Linked DNA regions of Sus scrofa. The protein of the gene in region 3 interacts with the protein of the main gene of each other region in a biochemical or structural test. Links are inferred from orthologs where the notes say so. Each region holds a gene or a part of one and is shown on either strand. Other genes may lie near its edges.

Evidence for each region. The genes of interacting proteins can lie anywhere in the genome.
Region 1: the proteins of PAFAH1B1 (region 3) and NDEL1 form a complex in vitro, tested with the Homo sapiens proteins (3 studies listed by BioGRID). The link is inferred for Sus scrofa from reciprocal best matches to the Homo sapiens genes PAFAH1B1 and NDEL1.
Region 2: the proteins of PAFAH1B1 (region 3) and DCX form a complex in vitro, tested with the Homo sapiens proteins (2 studies listed by BioGRID). The link is inferred for Sus scrofa from reciprocal best matches to the Homo sapiens genes PAFAH1B1 and DCX.
Region 4: the proteins of PAFAH1B1 (region 3) and NUDC form a complex in vitro, tested with the Homo sapiens proteins (3 studies listed by BioGRID). The link is inferred for Sus scrofa from reciprocal best matches to the Homo sapiens genes PAFAH1B1 and NUDC.

What each region holds. Positions count from the first base shown.
Region 1 is NC_010454.4:53,600,408-53,604,603, reverse strand, and holds the start of NDEL1 (nuclear distribution protein nudE-like 1), read right to left. Parts: upstream 2,801-4,196; 5' UTR 2,620-2,800; intron 1-2,619. UniProt on the Homo sapiens protein: Required for organization of the cellular microtubule array and microtubule anchoring at the centrosome. May regulate microtubule organization at least in part by targeting the microtubule severing protein KATNA1 to the centrosome.
Region 2 is NC_010461.5:91,641,773-91,645,734, reverse strand, and holds the start of DCX (neuronal migration protein doublecortin), read left to right. Parts: upstream 1-1,162; 5' UTR 1,163-1,316; intron 1,317-3,714; exon of another isoform or gene 3,715-3,773; intron 3,774-3,962. UniProt on the Homo sapiens protein: Microtubule-associated protein required for initial steps of neuronal dispersion and cortex lamination during cerebral cortex development. May act by competing with the putative neuronal protein kinase DCLK1 in binding to a target protein.
Region 3 is NC_010454.4:48,710,329-48,713,828, reverse strand, and holds part of PAFAH1B1 (platelet-activating factor acetylhydrolase IB subunit alpha), read right to left. Parts: intron 3,083-3,500; coding exon 2,998-3,082; intron 2,481-2,997; coding exon 2,406-2,480; intron 1,500-2,405; coding exon 1,293-1,499; intron 1-1,292. UniProt on the Homo sapiens protein: Regulatory subunit (beta subunit) of the cytosolic type I platelet-activating factor (PAF) acetylhydrolase (PAF-AH (I)), an enzyme that catalyzes the hydrolyze of the acetyl group at the sn-2 position of PAF and its analogs and participates in PAF inactivation.
Region 4 is NC_010448.4:84,237,463-84,241,494, reverse strand, and holds the start of NUDC (nuclear migration protein nudC), read right to left. Parts: upstream 2,801-4,032; 5' UTR 2,693-2,800; coding exon 2,612-2,692; intron 229-2,611; coding exon 151-228; intron 1-150. UniProt on the Homo sapiens protein: Plays a role in neurogenesis and neuronal migration. Necessary for correct formation of mitotic spindles and chromosome separation during mitosis. Necessary for cytokinesis and cell proliferation.

The sequences.
Region 1 (4,196 bases), about 4.9 Mb from region 3:
TTAATCACTTCTGGAAGCTATGTGCATATTTCAGTGATACCACCATTACTGAAAACATTTCTACAATCTCTTTAGAAATAGCCTTAATGAACTAGATTAAAAACTAAACAAAAAGCTCTTTCTTTGTGGTCCCACCTCGCTTCAACTGCTTCCTAATATCATCCAGCTTTATCACTCTAATCACGCTAATTTTATTCATCAGATTTATTCTTTCCAAAAATCAGATTTTTTTTTTTTTTTTTTACAGATAACAAAAATGTGCTGCCACTGCAGATATTCAAAAGATGTTCTCAGGGGCAATAAAGACAATCTGTTCATTTTGCTTCAAGTTACAGCAGGAGGATGTGTTCACTGTGTTATCTGAAACTTTGTAACTGGAGATATCAGGCTATAGAGAGTTGGCCAACACAGAAAACTACACTGCTAAAAACAAATAAATAAATAAATTAGCTTTAATGACACATCTATAATCTTGAAGCTGAAATGAGGGTAGATGATCATATACTCTTTGCCGATACCCAATCTTCCCTCAACGCCACGTCTCATGGATGGGGCGTCTCATGGATGGGGCGTGACCCCGAAACAACTCTTACCTGGGTCATTAGCATACGGTATATGACCTTCAGCTGTCTGGCAGCTGACAAATCAACTCATTACGGCATAAAACAGCCTTTCAAAATGCTGTATTTACAAAGAAACTATTCTTTGTGCAATGGTAAGAAAATTCATTTTATATGAACTGTCTCTTTGTTGATCGTTGCAGAATGGACTCCTGAGGCTGGAAAAGTTCTTCTGGAATTCACCGTAGATAATAAATACCTTTTTACGAAATTCTTCTACTTCTCCCAAAAGTAACAATTACAGAATTTCAAACTTTTCAAAGTTGAGCATAAATATGGTCTCCCTCTTGGTCCTGACTTATTTTTCTACCTTATAAAGAGCAAAAACTTATGTCAGAAGTAATTTTAAGCTTTAGTAACCAAATTTACCCCAGCATGACTTAACATGAAAATAAAAATAAGTGTTGGAGAGATCATGAAAGCAACATCTAAGTTTTTACTGAGGTTTCTACTTATTTTAAGCATTCCTCACCCAATTTCAATTTATTTAATTAAAAAAACCTAAACAGGGAATTCCAGAGCAGTAGCGTAGTTAGATTTGGGGCTTTCACCTGTGGCCTGGGGTCAATCCCTGGTCTGGGAACTGAGATCCCACATCAAGCCACTGCACACCACAGCCAAAAACAAAAAATTTACGCCAAAACAGGAAAAAAAAAAAAAGCTTCATAAGATTTAGCAACTTCTATCTGAATCAGGTCAATGTGAAACCAGGGCTGGCCAAAGGGGGGATTTTGTTCCTTATGACATCTGATTTTAAACAACTTAATAAAAATTCAGAGGAAATATTTTAGTTCCCTTTTATTCTCTTCAACACGACTTAATGCTGCATTTTACCCCCCCAACTTCATGACTTAGCAAAGCCATTACCCTCTTTCATAAACAAATTAAAAGCAACACAACTTATCAGACAAAATAATTAGCCAACCGTGGACAAGTTTCAGCGTAGGATTTTTCTTAAAACTGAGCAGCAATCCTCATCCTAGGTGGGTCTGCTGAAAAAAATTTGAATAAATCTTCTACTAGCTTCTGGTATAGTTCTGGCAAGTCAAATTTACTATTTTGCTCTCCAGCTGAGAAGGATGTAAAAATCTCACGGAAAGAAACCACAACTCCAGGCAGGGAGACGCAAATTCTGAACCAAGAGAAGCCTCTCACTGGTTGGTGGAATCCACAGAATAAATCACCAAAACCCCCACCCGACCTGGTCTCAATTTCTCTATGGGTAGAATCACAGACAACCACTAACGAGGTGATGAGGTTCAAAGCCGAGATAACAAGGGTGTTCTCAAACGTGTAAAGGCGCCTAGAGAAACGTAATGAAATTATCCGTGAAGCACCCTCAATTCCCAGGCAAACCTTAAAAGGGTCACTTCGTTGCTTACCAGCTAAAAAACAAAGGCGAGTACAAGCAACCCGAACCCGTTTGGTGACACTTTCCTGAACTCCGAGAGGGGTAATTAGCAGTTCGGAGCTGGCAATCACAGGAATGCCACCGGAGCTCAAGGTGGGCAGCTTCCGCTCTCGCCCCCCGTGGGAGAGAAGCAACGAGAATTCAGAATCCAACCTGGCTCCGAACCACCCTCCAGATGAAGGGATGCGGGATGGGGGCTGGGGAGGGGGAGGGCTGGGCGCGCCGCTGCCACCTCCAGCGGAGCCACCCCTTGCGCGACCAGCTTCCCGGCCCACGGTGCCACGTCCCGGCCTCCGTCCCCGCCATCCCTCACCCCACCCCCGGATGCGGGCACATCCTCCGGAGGCCGCCCGGCTCGCTCCCTTCCAGGCGCCCCAGGTGGGCCACACCTCGGACCAGGGCGGGGAGGGGGCAGTTAGAGCGGTTGAAACAGTTGGCCCCGGACTGGCCGCCCCAGAACCCGGGCCCGGCCCAGCCCGGCGGGGGCTCGGACACAGCCCCCGGGGCTGGCAGGCTCCGCGGGGACAGGCCTCGGCGCCGTCGGCCGGGTCCGGCGCCCTCGGGAGCGGCCCCGCACGGCAGGCTCACCTCCAATGTGTCAAAAGCGCATGTTCGCCACCGCTCGACCGACGTCTCCGCTCCGCTGGCCTGGCCAGGCCCGCCCAGCCGCTCGGCTCCGCTCCCCGCCGCAGTCCTGAGCTCCACTCCGCGCACCTCCGCGCCCGGCTCCTCCCCGACACGTCAGAGGCTGCCTGGGTGTCCGAGGCCATTCTGTGACGCACGGGGGCGGGGCCCGAGCATGCGCACGAGCGCGCGGGCGGCTAGGGCGGGGCTGTGGCAGGGATGGCGTCACACGGGGCCGGGCCGGGCCGGCGCGCTGACGTCAGGCTGGCGGAGGCCTTCTGCGCAGGCGCCCCGGGCCCGCGCGGCGTGCCGTTTACGACTTTCGCGGGTCCCCGGAAAGACTCTGCGTTCCGGAAAGTGGCACTACCGTAGATGAGAACCCGCCTCCCAGTTTTCATCCACCAAACCCTACAAGTGTCTGTTTCGGGGTTCCCGTTTGAAAGAAGAATCTCGGCTCAGATCTCACATCCGAGTCCACCCCGACCACCCAATACCGTACCAGGTGTATTCTAGCACCGTCACACTCTCACACGGAGCTATGTCGGTTTAAGGGCACGTCCACTAGCTGAAATTTTATGCTACTTCTTGTCTTCCTCCAGTAAGATGTAAGTTCCATGAGAACCGGAACCTCATTCCTTGCTTATCCCAGCAGATAGCTTGGTCCCAGGGTGGGTGCTCAGATATTTGTTGAATGAGTGAATGGATTCATTGAGGGCACCAAGGGAATATAAATATATCCATGTATATGTACATATGTGCGTACGTGTTTTCATCCCTTCAGGGCCCCCAACTAATGGAATCCATATATATGTACATCCCCTAGGAGACTTGGAGAAGAAGACTTGGGGGTGTGGAGGGAGAAGGTGGGGAGAGACTGGCTCAGAAAGGAGAGAAATGAAGGGCAGCTGATTAGTGTGTGGAAACTTGGAGAAAGAGAAGTGTTTTAAAAGCAATTTTAGGAACTTTGGACGTTTCACGTACCCTGTAATTCTCTTATGTCAGTGCTCTTGGGACTGGATTTGTGGGGCTTTTGGACACAATGATGTGTTGGTACGAGCCTCAAGGCATGGACATAAAGGGGAACAGCACAAAATGGATTCTAAGAGATGTCCAGTGAAAATCTGAAAAGTGATTTGGGGTGTTAGAAAGTATGGAACTTTGAGTTAGACTCTGAAGGAGAGCAGGTTGAACAGTTTACTTTTGCTGTGCCCTTTGTATGTACTGGCAGGTGTGCCAAAGGCTTTGTCTGCATAATTCAATTCTCACAATAACCCCATGAGATAGGTACTGTTATTATTCCCATTTTACCAATGAGGAAACCGAGACTAAGCGAGATGAAGTTGCCCAATGTCACTCAACTAGAAAAAGGAGTTTTCGGAGTTCCCTTCGTGGCTCAGTGGTTGACGAATCCGACTAGGAACCATGAGGTTGCGGGTTCAATCCCCAGCCTTGCTCAGTGAGTTAAGGATCTGGCGTTGCCGTGAGCTGTGGTGTAGGTCACAGACACAGCTCAGATCCCGCGTCTCTGTGGCTCTGGCGTA
Region 2 (3,962 bases), on a different chromosome or scaffold from region 3:
TCCTCTACCTATTTGTAGGACAAGTCGGTTGTAACCAAGGCTCTTGATTATCTGAAACGGGAAAAAAGAAAAAGGGACCCTTTTAAAACAGGCGACTGTAAAAACAGCAACTATGGCAACCAACTCCAAAATCGGAGCACGGGCGGCCAAAGAGTCGAACTGGAGCCGAAGTGTTAGTTTTCCTTCTTCCCCGATTCCGGGCCCGACAGGGCACCTCGCTAGCCCTGAGGGATCTAGACGCCCCAGCTCACCACATCGTGAGAGAAATGGGCCCGCAAGAACTAAGAGACCAGGCAAAGGCTCTGAAAAAGGTGTCGCGAGCTAGGGGGAGACCAAGGAACAGCTTCGTCGTGGTCCCACAGATGGAACTGCGCGAACCTCACGCCCTGAGAGGGCGCTGCGGGGATACCGGTCGCGAGGGCGCCTTAGGGAAGGAAAGGCGCCAGGGCCCGAACGCGGCGGGGCCGGACGAGGGCAGGACGGGGCGGCGCGCCAGGCTGAACTGGTCGGGCCGGGCCTGACGGAGCGCGTCGACCGCGCGGCCCCGAGCGGCCCTGAGGAGCGGCCGGCGAGGCGGGCAAGGGCCCGAGAGGCGGGTCGGAGCCCCGGCTCGGAGAGGCGGAGCCGCTAGAAGGAGGGGCGAAGCCGGAGGACGGAGAGGCGGAGGCGGAGAATCGGAGGGGAAAAGCCGGGGAAAAGGAGGAGCCGGAGAAAGGACGGGGAGGAGCGGCCCGGGAAGGCGGCGGGGAACGGGGAGAGGAGGCGGAGGACCCTGAGGAGCGGGGGAGTGGGAGGAGGGCCCAGCTGGGCGCGGGGAGGAGCCGGCCGAGGGGCGTCGGCACCTGAGGTCGAGCGGCTGGGGGTTCTTCCCGAGGACCGCGGTCAGGCAAGGTTACCGAGGTTAGCGGTCAGGCTGGCGGCGGCGGGCGGCGAGCAGCGAGCGGCGAGCGCAGCGCGGCGAGCCCAACCGCCGCCCGCCTGCCTCCCCCACTCACTTGCAGACTGTCGTGCGCCGATACACACGCAATCAGGTCGTCAAAGCTGGTGGTCCCTACAGTAACAAACACGCACTTCATCGCGCGGGTTCCGCAACCCCGAATCGCAAGGGCCGGATGTGACGTAGCAGAGCCACGCGGGCTGCCGCGGCAGCGCTGGGTGTGGGAGGCGGAAGTCGGCCCCAGCCGCCAGGGGGCAACGGGAACCCGGCCTGTGTTGCCGGGAATGGGAGGGGGCCAAAGACTGCTAATGGCCTACGTGCAGGCTACTGTTGTAAGCCCTTTGCGTGTAGAAGCTCACGGGACCCTCACAGTAAGGAGGTGGGCAATTGACAAATGTATTGTTTTTCAAAAGTGGGGGTTAAAACAAATAGTAGTGAAGCCTTACACCTTTGTGTTTGCATCCTTGCTCGAGTACCACAGATCTTTTAATGGTAGAGAAGTTTGGGATTCTTTTTTGGCTACCGTGTTTTGCCAAGATAACGTTTTACTTCAAGTCTGTGAAGGGCATCGGGAAAAAAAGAAGTGCCTTTTCAAAATCGCTCATTAGCCTAGGCTCTTCTTCAACAGCAGTTTTCGAGAAACCACAGCCCTACAAAGTCTCTTGGAAACTGCAGAGAAACCGTAATTTCCATTTGCAAGCATTGTTTGTAAAATAGAGGCGTTAAGCCCTGAAGCCCACATTTGTGTCGTTGAACCAATCCATTTAACCATTTAAATAATAAAATTACCATAAATTTACATTCTAATGAATGTAAAATTATATATTAGCATGACTGAATACCTCATATACTTAGGTTTATGAAGTGAAATACAGGAGAGTTGATTTCTGAAGGCTCCCCTTCTTTCTCCTTGCACCATTGCTAAGATCATTGCCTGCTTTAGCTCATTCTAATGGTTTGTGTATTTCCTACTTAAAATCTCAGTTTAGCTAATATTTATGCTTTGCCCTGACTGGTTATACATGGAAGGGAAACTATGAGAAGAAATTCTTTTCAACACAGAGGATTGGTAGTGAGTTAGGCCTACAACATAGGCTAAAAAAAAGAACAAATATTAGTCATATTTCTAATGGGACTGTTAAATCTTGCATTTTGACTAATTGTCTTTTTGAGGGGTGGTATACTGCTGCCTCTTTCTTGATACCAAATTTCATGAATTAATGAAACTACAGTTTCATAATAACAACATAGATCATGGTTAAATAATAAAGCAAACATAATCATATTTTCTGCCCCAAAATAAGAGGAATAAAGAATGTTTATTGGAATATAAAGACAAAAATACTCAGTAATTTAGAAAGACTGCATCTGATATCTTTTCCCATATCTGAAAGATGTAAATTAAAGGAGCACTGTTCTGATTAGCTCAGAGAAAATAAGCACATATATAAATTGAATATTCTTAAATTCCCAGAAAATAAGAAAACTGAATTTCTGATGAACCAAGCCCCCCCTAAAATTGAGCTTCCTTACCAATTAATGATTTATCTCTCCTTCCCTGAAACTATTCCCTTGCTTGTCTCCTCTGATCTCAATTCCTTTCTTGTCCCCTCTGACCTCAATCCTGTTCTAGCTGAACCCTAATCAGCCAGAGTCAGACGACTAAAATTGCTATTGTTATATCATCATTAAGGTAAAAACTCAGGTAGTTTCTCCAAGGCAAGATGAGCTCACAGGCCTCCGAGCCAGACCACCTGGCCAGAGAATCCTAAACCAGAGACCTCTTGACTCCTGAAATCACGATAAAGGAATGTCACAAGACAATGATTAATTCCAGCTTCTTCTTCCCCTTTAAAACATCCCTAACTAAAAGACCAAGAAGGAGTGGATCTGAGACCTGTATTCCTCTCCTTTGCTTGGTGCCTTGCAAATGAACATTTACTTTGCTGCAAATACCCTCTGCCAAGTTTGGCTTTCTATGCCTCAAGCAGAGGAGCCCCTGCTTAGTTACATTGATACATTTAAAGTGCTAGACTTTAATAAAACATCTTGCAGAAACATTTTAAGAACCCAAGATGACATAATTGATGGAAAATTCTGGCGATTAAGTCTTTTCTCTGTTTGGCAGTGTTAAATATAATACAAGCATGCACAATCATGTATCATTTTCCTAAACTTATACAGCCTTACTAGTTAAATAAATTAATGTTACTTCTAAAAAAAGGTTTTTTTAAGGCCACACCTGCAGCTTATGGACGTGCCCAGGCTAAGGGTCAATCGGAGCTGCAGCTGCCGACCTTCACCACAGCCACAGCAACACCAAATTCAAACCTTGTCTGCAAGCTACACCACAGCTGGGGGCAATGCCAGATCCTTAACCCACTGAGTGAGGCCAGGGACTGAGGGCAGGAATCGAACTGGCATCTTCATGGATACTAGTCAGGTTCTTAACCCAATGAGCCACAATGGGAACTCCTAAAAATGTTTTTGATTATGAAAATGTAAATTTCTTTTAAAGTCATGTTGAATCAGCATTCTGACAAACTTTGTTTCAACAGTAACTATGTTTTATAGTAAGCCAGCTTGAAGATAATTTCCAAGATCTTTTAAGCACCTTTAAAAAGATTGTGTATTGGCATTAATTGAGTTAATTAATGTGTAATTGTTGCACAACTACTTTTTAAGTAAAATAGAATATTGAAACATTAGTTTAAGCATAATTATTTTTTAATCAATATAAATTTTTTTATTTTATGATTTTTATTTTTTCACTATAGTTTATTTACAGTGTTCTGCCAGTTTCTACTGTACAGCAGAGAGACCCAGTCATATATATGTATGTATATATTATTTTTCTCACATTATCCTCCATCATGTTCCATCATAAGTGTCTAGATATAATTCCCTGTGCTATACAGCAGGATCTCATTGCTTATCCACTCCAAATGCAATAGTTTACACCTATTAACCCTAGACTCCCAGTCCATCCCACTCCCTCCCCCTCCCCCTTGGCAACCACAAGTCT
Region 3 (3,500 bases):
GTTACATAAAGACTAAATGGAAGGGAGAACTTTCAGTAGTTGTTGAGATATGCTGTATGATTATAGATAAAACTTTTAAAACTTTCATTTGTAATTCTTTTTCCTTTTCTTTTTTTATTGCTTTTTAGGGCTGCACTTGTGGCATATGGAAGTTCCCAGCCTAGGGGTTGAAATGGAGCTAGCCAGGCTAGACCCGAGCCCCATCTGCCACCTATGCTGTAGCTTGAGGCAATGCTAGATCCTTAACCCACTGAGTGAGGCCAGGGATCTAACCTGCATCCTCATGGATACTAGCTGAATTCTTAAACTGCTGAGCCACAATGGGAATTCCCACAAACATTTTCTTAGTTATACCTCTACAAATGAAAACTTAAAATCTAGAAATTAATCTGAAATAAGCTTCAGAATAGAGAAACCTAAATTTTTAAAACTGTATTTTACTTACCTTTCTGTAGGTGGTTTATACAACTGTCAATGTATTATGTCTGGACCAAAGGGAATTACAAAAACAACTTTTTTATGATTAAAAAATATTAAAATGGGAGTTCCCATTGTGGCTCAGTGGATGAAGGACGTTGTCTCTGTGAGGACATGGGTTTGATCCCTGGCCTTGCTCAGTGGGTTAAGGATCCTGCATTGCCGTTAAGCTGTGACGTAAGCCCCAGATGCAGCTCCAATTCAACCCCTGGCTCAGGAACTTCCATATGCCACAGGTGCAGCTGTAAAAAGAAAAAAACATGTATATGCTTATCGTGAAAAATATAAAAATCAGAGAAATACATAGCTTATAAAGTGAAAAGCTTCTACATTCCCACACCCCTGAGGAGAACTACTTAAGTTTGGAAAGTACAATTTAAATTTCTCTATTGAATTCTTTTGCAGAATTATATTCATCCCTTGAATTACTAGTTTTATAATCCTGTATTTTCATCTAACATCTCTGCTTATAAGTAAGACACACACTTATATTTTTATTCTCCAAGAACAAAAATTACTCAAGCACTAGGTGACCTATTGTTTATTGTCCAATGCTTAATTAGTGATACTCACTGTTCTCAAATTCATCAGTAAATTAGTTTGGCAGTTTGTCTCTAAGGAGCTACAATGAAATTTTATTCTAATTCTGTCTTTTAAGGTTAAGAACCAATCACAGTTTCAAAAAGGCCCTCCTGTCCCTCTGCTTAGGTCCTCATTTCAGGATCTTTTGATTTCTTTCACTCAATTAACATTAAATTTGCTTCTAACAATCATCCTATTGTATGTCTTCCAATTTTTTTTAAAAAAAAAACTACCTTAATTGTAGCATCCTCTGAAGCAGAGACCATAACACTGAACACAGGATGGAAAATGACTCGAGTAACTGGACTCCTATGACCACTCAATGCATATTTTTCTGGTGGACGGGGAATCCATTCTTTTGGGTCTCGTTTTTGACCAAGAGGTCCACCCGACGTAAATTCTTCTTTCGCTTCATTTAGTTTTGATTCTAATTCCATAACCTTGAGAAAGAACACATAGTTACGTACAGATAGATTCTGAAAAATAGCATATTCGGTGTTTTAAAAACTGCCTTTATTTTGCATCCATATATGCAGAATAAAATTTTAGTAATTTAAAAAACATTTGTCAGATTTAATTGAAAGAGATCTGTATTATATATCACCAAAATTTTAGTAGTGTGACAAAACTAAAAACTGAGAAAGCCTTAATAGAATTGAGTTTTGACCACTTAACTCAAAAGAAAAACTTGGAAGGTACCAGGATATGAATTAAGGACAAGTAGGGAACCTATCTTGATTCCATCTAAGTCTGCCACTCTCAATAAATTCTTTCCAAACCGCAGTTTACATTATACATACTAATCACAATGTTCACAATAAAAAAGCTAATATTAATAAGCATCTATGTTAGGTACTTTTCTGAGAGCTTTTAATAGATTAACTCCCAGTATAATGTCATTTATTCTAACTCTGCCTACCCAAAGTATACATTTTAGGACCAGAATACTACTTATTGCCTTCACTTTATAAATAAAAACAAAAGCTCAGAGATGAAAATGTCTTATCTAAGTGCACATTTTAGTGCTCTTTTCCCAGGATCATATCAACTCCATATGTTCTTCCAATTTAACTGTATAAATGGGCTCTTAAGTATCAAATCCTTAAAGTCGAGGTTGTGTTAGGTTCAACCCAGCCTGGGATGCATAAGTTAGTTTGCATATATCAACAATGATCTGAATAGATCAAAAAAAAAAATTTTTTTAATGTAGAGAAATGTATTTTTATTTGCCTTTTCAAGGTTAAATATATTAATTAATACAGAATAATAATATGTTCTATTGATACTTTCAAAGTTTGTATAATACTCTGAATACAACTAACTTAAAAGAAAAAAGACTTAGTTACCTTCTTTTGTAATCTAATAACAGATGTCCATTTTTTTTCCAAAAGACCAGCATATTTCTTATCTAATTCTTCATTCTAGAGAAAAAAATGAGAACCTTTAAAAAAACATGGTTCAAGTACAACAGTTCAAGCCATACTGACCATTCATCTACAAGCCCAAACATTACTAAAAATATCTGACTGTATACCGAGTTTAGTGCCAAATAAACCACAGTTACAAATGACAAGATTTTTGAGTAACTGAGGTGACTATTAACTACTGATAATTGAGTAAAATACACTTATTAAGTACACCATGAAATAATTATTAAAAAGTTAAACAATGGAGTTCCCGTCGGACTCAGTGGTTAATAAACCTGACTAGTATCAATGAGAATGTGGGTTCGATCCCTGGCCTTGCTCAGTGGGTTAAGGATCCGGCCTTGCCATGAGATGTGGTATAGGTCACAGACTCGGCTCAGATCTGGCATTGCTGTGGCTGTGGTACAGGTTGGCAACTGTAGCTCCGATTCAACCCCTAGCCTGTAAACCTCCATATGCCATGGGCACGGCCCTAAAAAGACAAAAGACAAAAAAAAAAATTTAAACATACCATATCTAATTCAGCTTCCTTTTTAAAAACTGAATATGCTTCTTCATAGCCATTTGAACGAAGATAATCTGCTATAGCTCGATTTCTGGAAGAAAACAAATTCAAATGACTCTTAATAAACTCTCATTTCTATTTTGAACAGAAAATATTTTATTTTAAATCTCATAAATGTTAAGACATTCTTTTAAGAATTATTACCTTCCAAATCATACAAGTATTTCACAAGAAAAGGAACCAATGCCCCCCCAGCCTCTAAAACATTCAGCCCTGTCATAGTATATCCACAAAATTATAACATTACTCTTGAGCTTTTAGTTATGGTTCTAATGTGTTCCTTACTTTACAAACTGTGGGTACTCTATAGATATGGCTTATTAATTAGTTATCACTCTGTGACAGTAATGATGAATTTTGTTCATGTTTATAGTTTATATTTAGCCTTCCCTTACTACTTTTATTCTAACAGACACTAAAAGACTAGCAAAGGAAATTTAGTTTTGCAG
Region 4 (4,032 bases), on a different chromosome or scaffold from region 3:
GCAGGGTAGATAAAGCACTTGGCAAGGAAAGGGACTTCAATAAATGACAGTAAATGCTTTCCTTCCCCAACTCTTGCCCTTGGCGTGTTAACTTCTGCGAAAGGTTATTATTATGCCAAAGGAAGGCCAGGTAAGCTCGCCAACACTCACCTTCTCTGCCATCCCCTCTTCTCCTCCAACAAAAAAGTCTGTTTTGCGACGAAGGAAGCTGAAGAAAGTGTTCACAAGCTGAAAGACAGAAGGCAAAAGACTGAAGCTGTAGAGGTGCCATACAGGGAGCCCCTTAACCACACACAAGCAACCTCCTTCACCTAGGAAGGAACTTGGGACTGGACCATTTCAACCCTGAGCCTCCCAACTGGGAAAACATCCCCCCCAACAGCCCTGCCTTAGTTACTTCTGCCAGGAAGCCTAACCTAACCTGATCTAGAGCAACAGAAAGGGAGAATTCTCATTTCTTGTGTATATGCATATGTGTATTTCACATTTTTTGTGATGCTAGAAGCAGCCTGAGGATATGGGGCACTGCATCCAGGTTTGAAATGCCTGGGGCCTAGCTTTCCTCTCCATGTAGCAAAAAGCCCATCCAGAGTGGCGCTGGCTGAGTTACTAGGGCAGAGCTGGAAGGAGAGAACAAAGAAGGCCACTTCAAAGAAGGTTAAGACCCACTAACTCTGGTGTTTTTTTCTTTGAGGGGAGGAGGGAGGTTAGCTACAGAAGCTCCTGGGGCCAGGGATCAAAATCAAGCCACAGCATGGACAACACTGGATCCATAACCACCAGGCCACCAGGGAACTCCAAAACCAGCTAACTCTGGCTGGGTGCATCAGTGCAGTCAAGTTGTTAAGTGCGTCGGTTTGGGAGTTCCCGTTGTGGCTCAGTGCTTATGAACGCAACTAATATTCATGAGGACATGGGTTCGATCCCTGGCCTTGCTCAGTGGGGTAAAGATCGAGCGTTGCAGTGGGCTGTGGTGCAGGTCACAGACATGGCTTGGATCTGGCGTTGCTATGACTGTGGCATAGGCTGGCAGCTGCAGCTCTGATTCAAACCCTAGCCTGTGAACTTCCATATGCCATGGGTGTGGCCCTAAAAAGGAAAAAAAAAAAGAGCATCGTTTTGGCCATTAGATTGATATACATTAGCTCTGTGACCTGGGGACAGTGTCTTAACTCTATGAAACAGAAATAGCAGCAGGACCAATTTCTAGGGATACACGTGAGGATCCTTGAGAGGACCAAAGGAAGACATGCAGGTGAGGTCCTTAATAGCGTCTGGCTAAAGAACCTCGGCCACAGAGAGAGCTCCTCACAAGTAGGCACCATGAACCATGACTCTGTGTACATCCCCAAGGCCTGGCACCAGACCTGGCTCAGAGTGCATGCTCAGAAAACTTTTGCTGAGCAAAAAGATCTAGTGATGACTGAGGGTTGGCACATATAAATAAGCCCTTTTATTTGCCCAAGTGAGAGGTTCTAAATCTGACGCTAGAATTTATCTCAACAGTTTCAATTCCTGCTTCTGGACACTTTTTCAATTCACTCAAAAATGAACTCACTTCCAAATCCAGGTGCAACAACAATTTAGGGGGGTAGGAGAAGGGAGACTTTCACATCTGCAAATTAGTAGCACTCTTCCCACAGGGACCTGAATGAGAATGGGAATGGAAGGCTCCAATGAGACACAGAATCAACAATGGACTGTGGAAAGCACACACTGGCCTAAGGATTCTGGTCCCCTCTAAGCCAGGAGCCTGTTGGATGAGCTTGGGCAAGCTCCTTCAGTTTCTTTAAAGAAAGACTAATCTTGATAGGTTTTGCTACGTTTAACTTTCCATCGTCCAAAAAACCAACTCCAGAATCTTTACTAGTTGGTCCTTATCCTTTTCCTACACATGTTATTGGGTTTGGTCACTAAGCATGAATTATGTTCTTGCACACATCAATTACTCAACAAACACTTGTTGAATGTTCGAGTCTGATTACCGAGAATTCTTCACTGTCCTTCACTTCAAGACACTACTCTCCTACAAATTCAGGAAGTAAGGATTCGTAGCTCTGTCTCAAAGAAAGAAACTGAAGCTTGGAGACATGAAACAGTCCAAGTTGTTAGGAAATGCAAAACACGCCTCCTATTCTCTCATTCAAGATCTAGAAAGACCACGTGTTAATATCACCCCCCCCACCCCCACACATCGCATACATTCTTCCGCTCGCCCCAAGTCTTGGTACATGCAAATCTCAATGCCTAGAACATCCTAAAGGATGTTCTTTGGGGGCGGCCACCAGAGGGGAAAAGGGCCGGAAGCAGGTTGGAGACTAAAGAGGGGGAAGGGATTCCAAGACTCGGGCCTTCCCAGGGGCAGATAAAGGGATGCCAGAGCTGTTAAGATGGTAACTACTGAGGGGCCCCAGGGATCCAGAACTGGTCCGAGCGCAAGACTTGCGGCGGGGAGGCCAGACTAGAAGCTGGGGTGCAATGAGAATGCGGGATCCTAAAGCCCGCAAGGCCCAGGGGTGGATCTCGTCTCTCGAAGGCAGCGAAGGGAGGAAAGAGAGTGGCTGGGCCGCCTGGGTGGGCCAGGCCAAGCCAATGCCGAGCGGGTCGTTACCTCCTGCACGCCTCCCTCGTGCTGCTGCGCCATCGCCAACAACATGCCGTCGAAACGATCCTCCTCCTGGTCTCCACCCATCTTGCCAGCTGCTAGCCACGCTCCGAAATCTGAGCTCTGCTCTCGCGTCCCGCGCTCTCGGCGCCTTCGGGTCGCGTCCGGTGCAACGGTTTCAGTCCTCCGCCTTCCGCAGCGGAGACGGAAACACGCACGCGCCCCGCTGCCTTGGCCCGCCCGCCTGCTCTCTCCTCCCGCCTCCCTTGTGGCCAGCGGCCATTGACCGTGCGGCAAGCAGCCCGCTTCACTGACCATTGGTCGACTTGCTGAGCCAATCAAAGAGCGCGTCCGTGAGCGGTGGGCGGAGTCGAAGGCCTCTGAGTTTGGTGTGAGTTGCTATGGTCACCAGGAACCTTTTGGAGCCTTCCAGAAAACCCTGGGCTCAAATCACGCGGGCCTGAAAGTTGAAAAAGCACAAACTTTGAATTTACGCCTTGAGAGTGACCGCTGAGCTTGTAGAACGGTAAAGCGTTCTTAATCATCTCTTCCAAGTTTTCCATCGGCCAACTGAGGCCCAGAAAGGAGAAGGGAACTTGCCCCAAAAGACAGCCTACCCCTGTTGTCATCACATACTCCATACAAATTGTGCAGTCGCAGGGGACCCGGACTTAGAAAGTCCCTTGGTGCTGGGGTTAATGCTCTTCTGCTGCAGTCCTGAGACTCTTAATATTTTTTAACAAGAGCCCCACCCCCAACCCCGCATTGTCATTTTGCGCAGTTTCATGCAAATTATGTAATGAGTGCTAAATTCGAACTTCACTTTTGTGCGGGACAGACCCCAGCCATCTAAGGCCAAACCCTCTACTTTTGTATTGAATTTCATCATCTTAGTCTTTTCAGGGATTCTACTCTTACTATCCTTTCCTAATTCTCCTGCATCAGAATTTTTTTTTTTCCCTACTCAATGAATCTGCATCACAATTTTCTTTCTTCTGGATCATCCCTTTTAACTTACAAATATACTTTAATGCCACTTCTTTTTTTATTCTTCTATGACCCCCCCACACAAACTTTTCTCCTCCTACCATTCCAATTTTATTTTTTTATTTTTTATTTTATTTTATTTTTTGTCTTTTTGCCTTTTCTTGAGCCGTTCCTGCGGCACATGGAGTCCAATCAGAGCTATAGCCACCGTCCTACGCCAGAGCTACAGCATCGCAAGATCCAAGCTGCATCTGCGACCCACGCCACAGCTCACTGCAACACCGGATCCTTAACCCACTGAGCAAGGCCAGGGATCGAACCCGCAACCTCATGGTTCCTAGTCAGATTCGTTAAGCACTGAGCTTCGATGGGAACTCCTATCCCAATTTTAAAATCTCTTTGACAGCAAAACTTGAAAAAAATTTGCTATACTTGTTTCT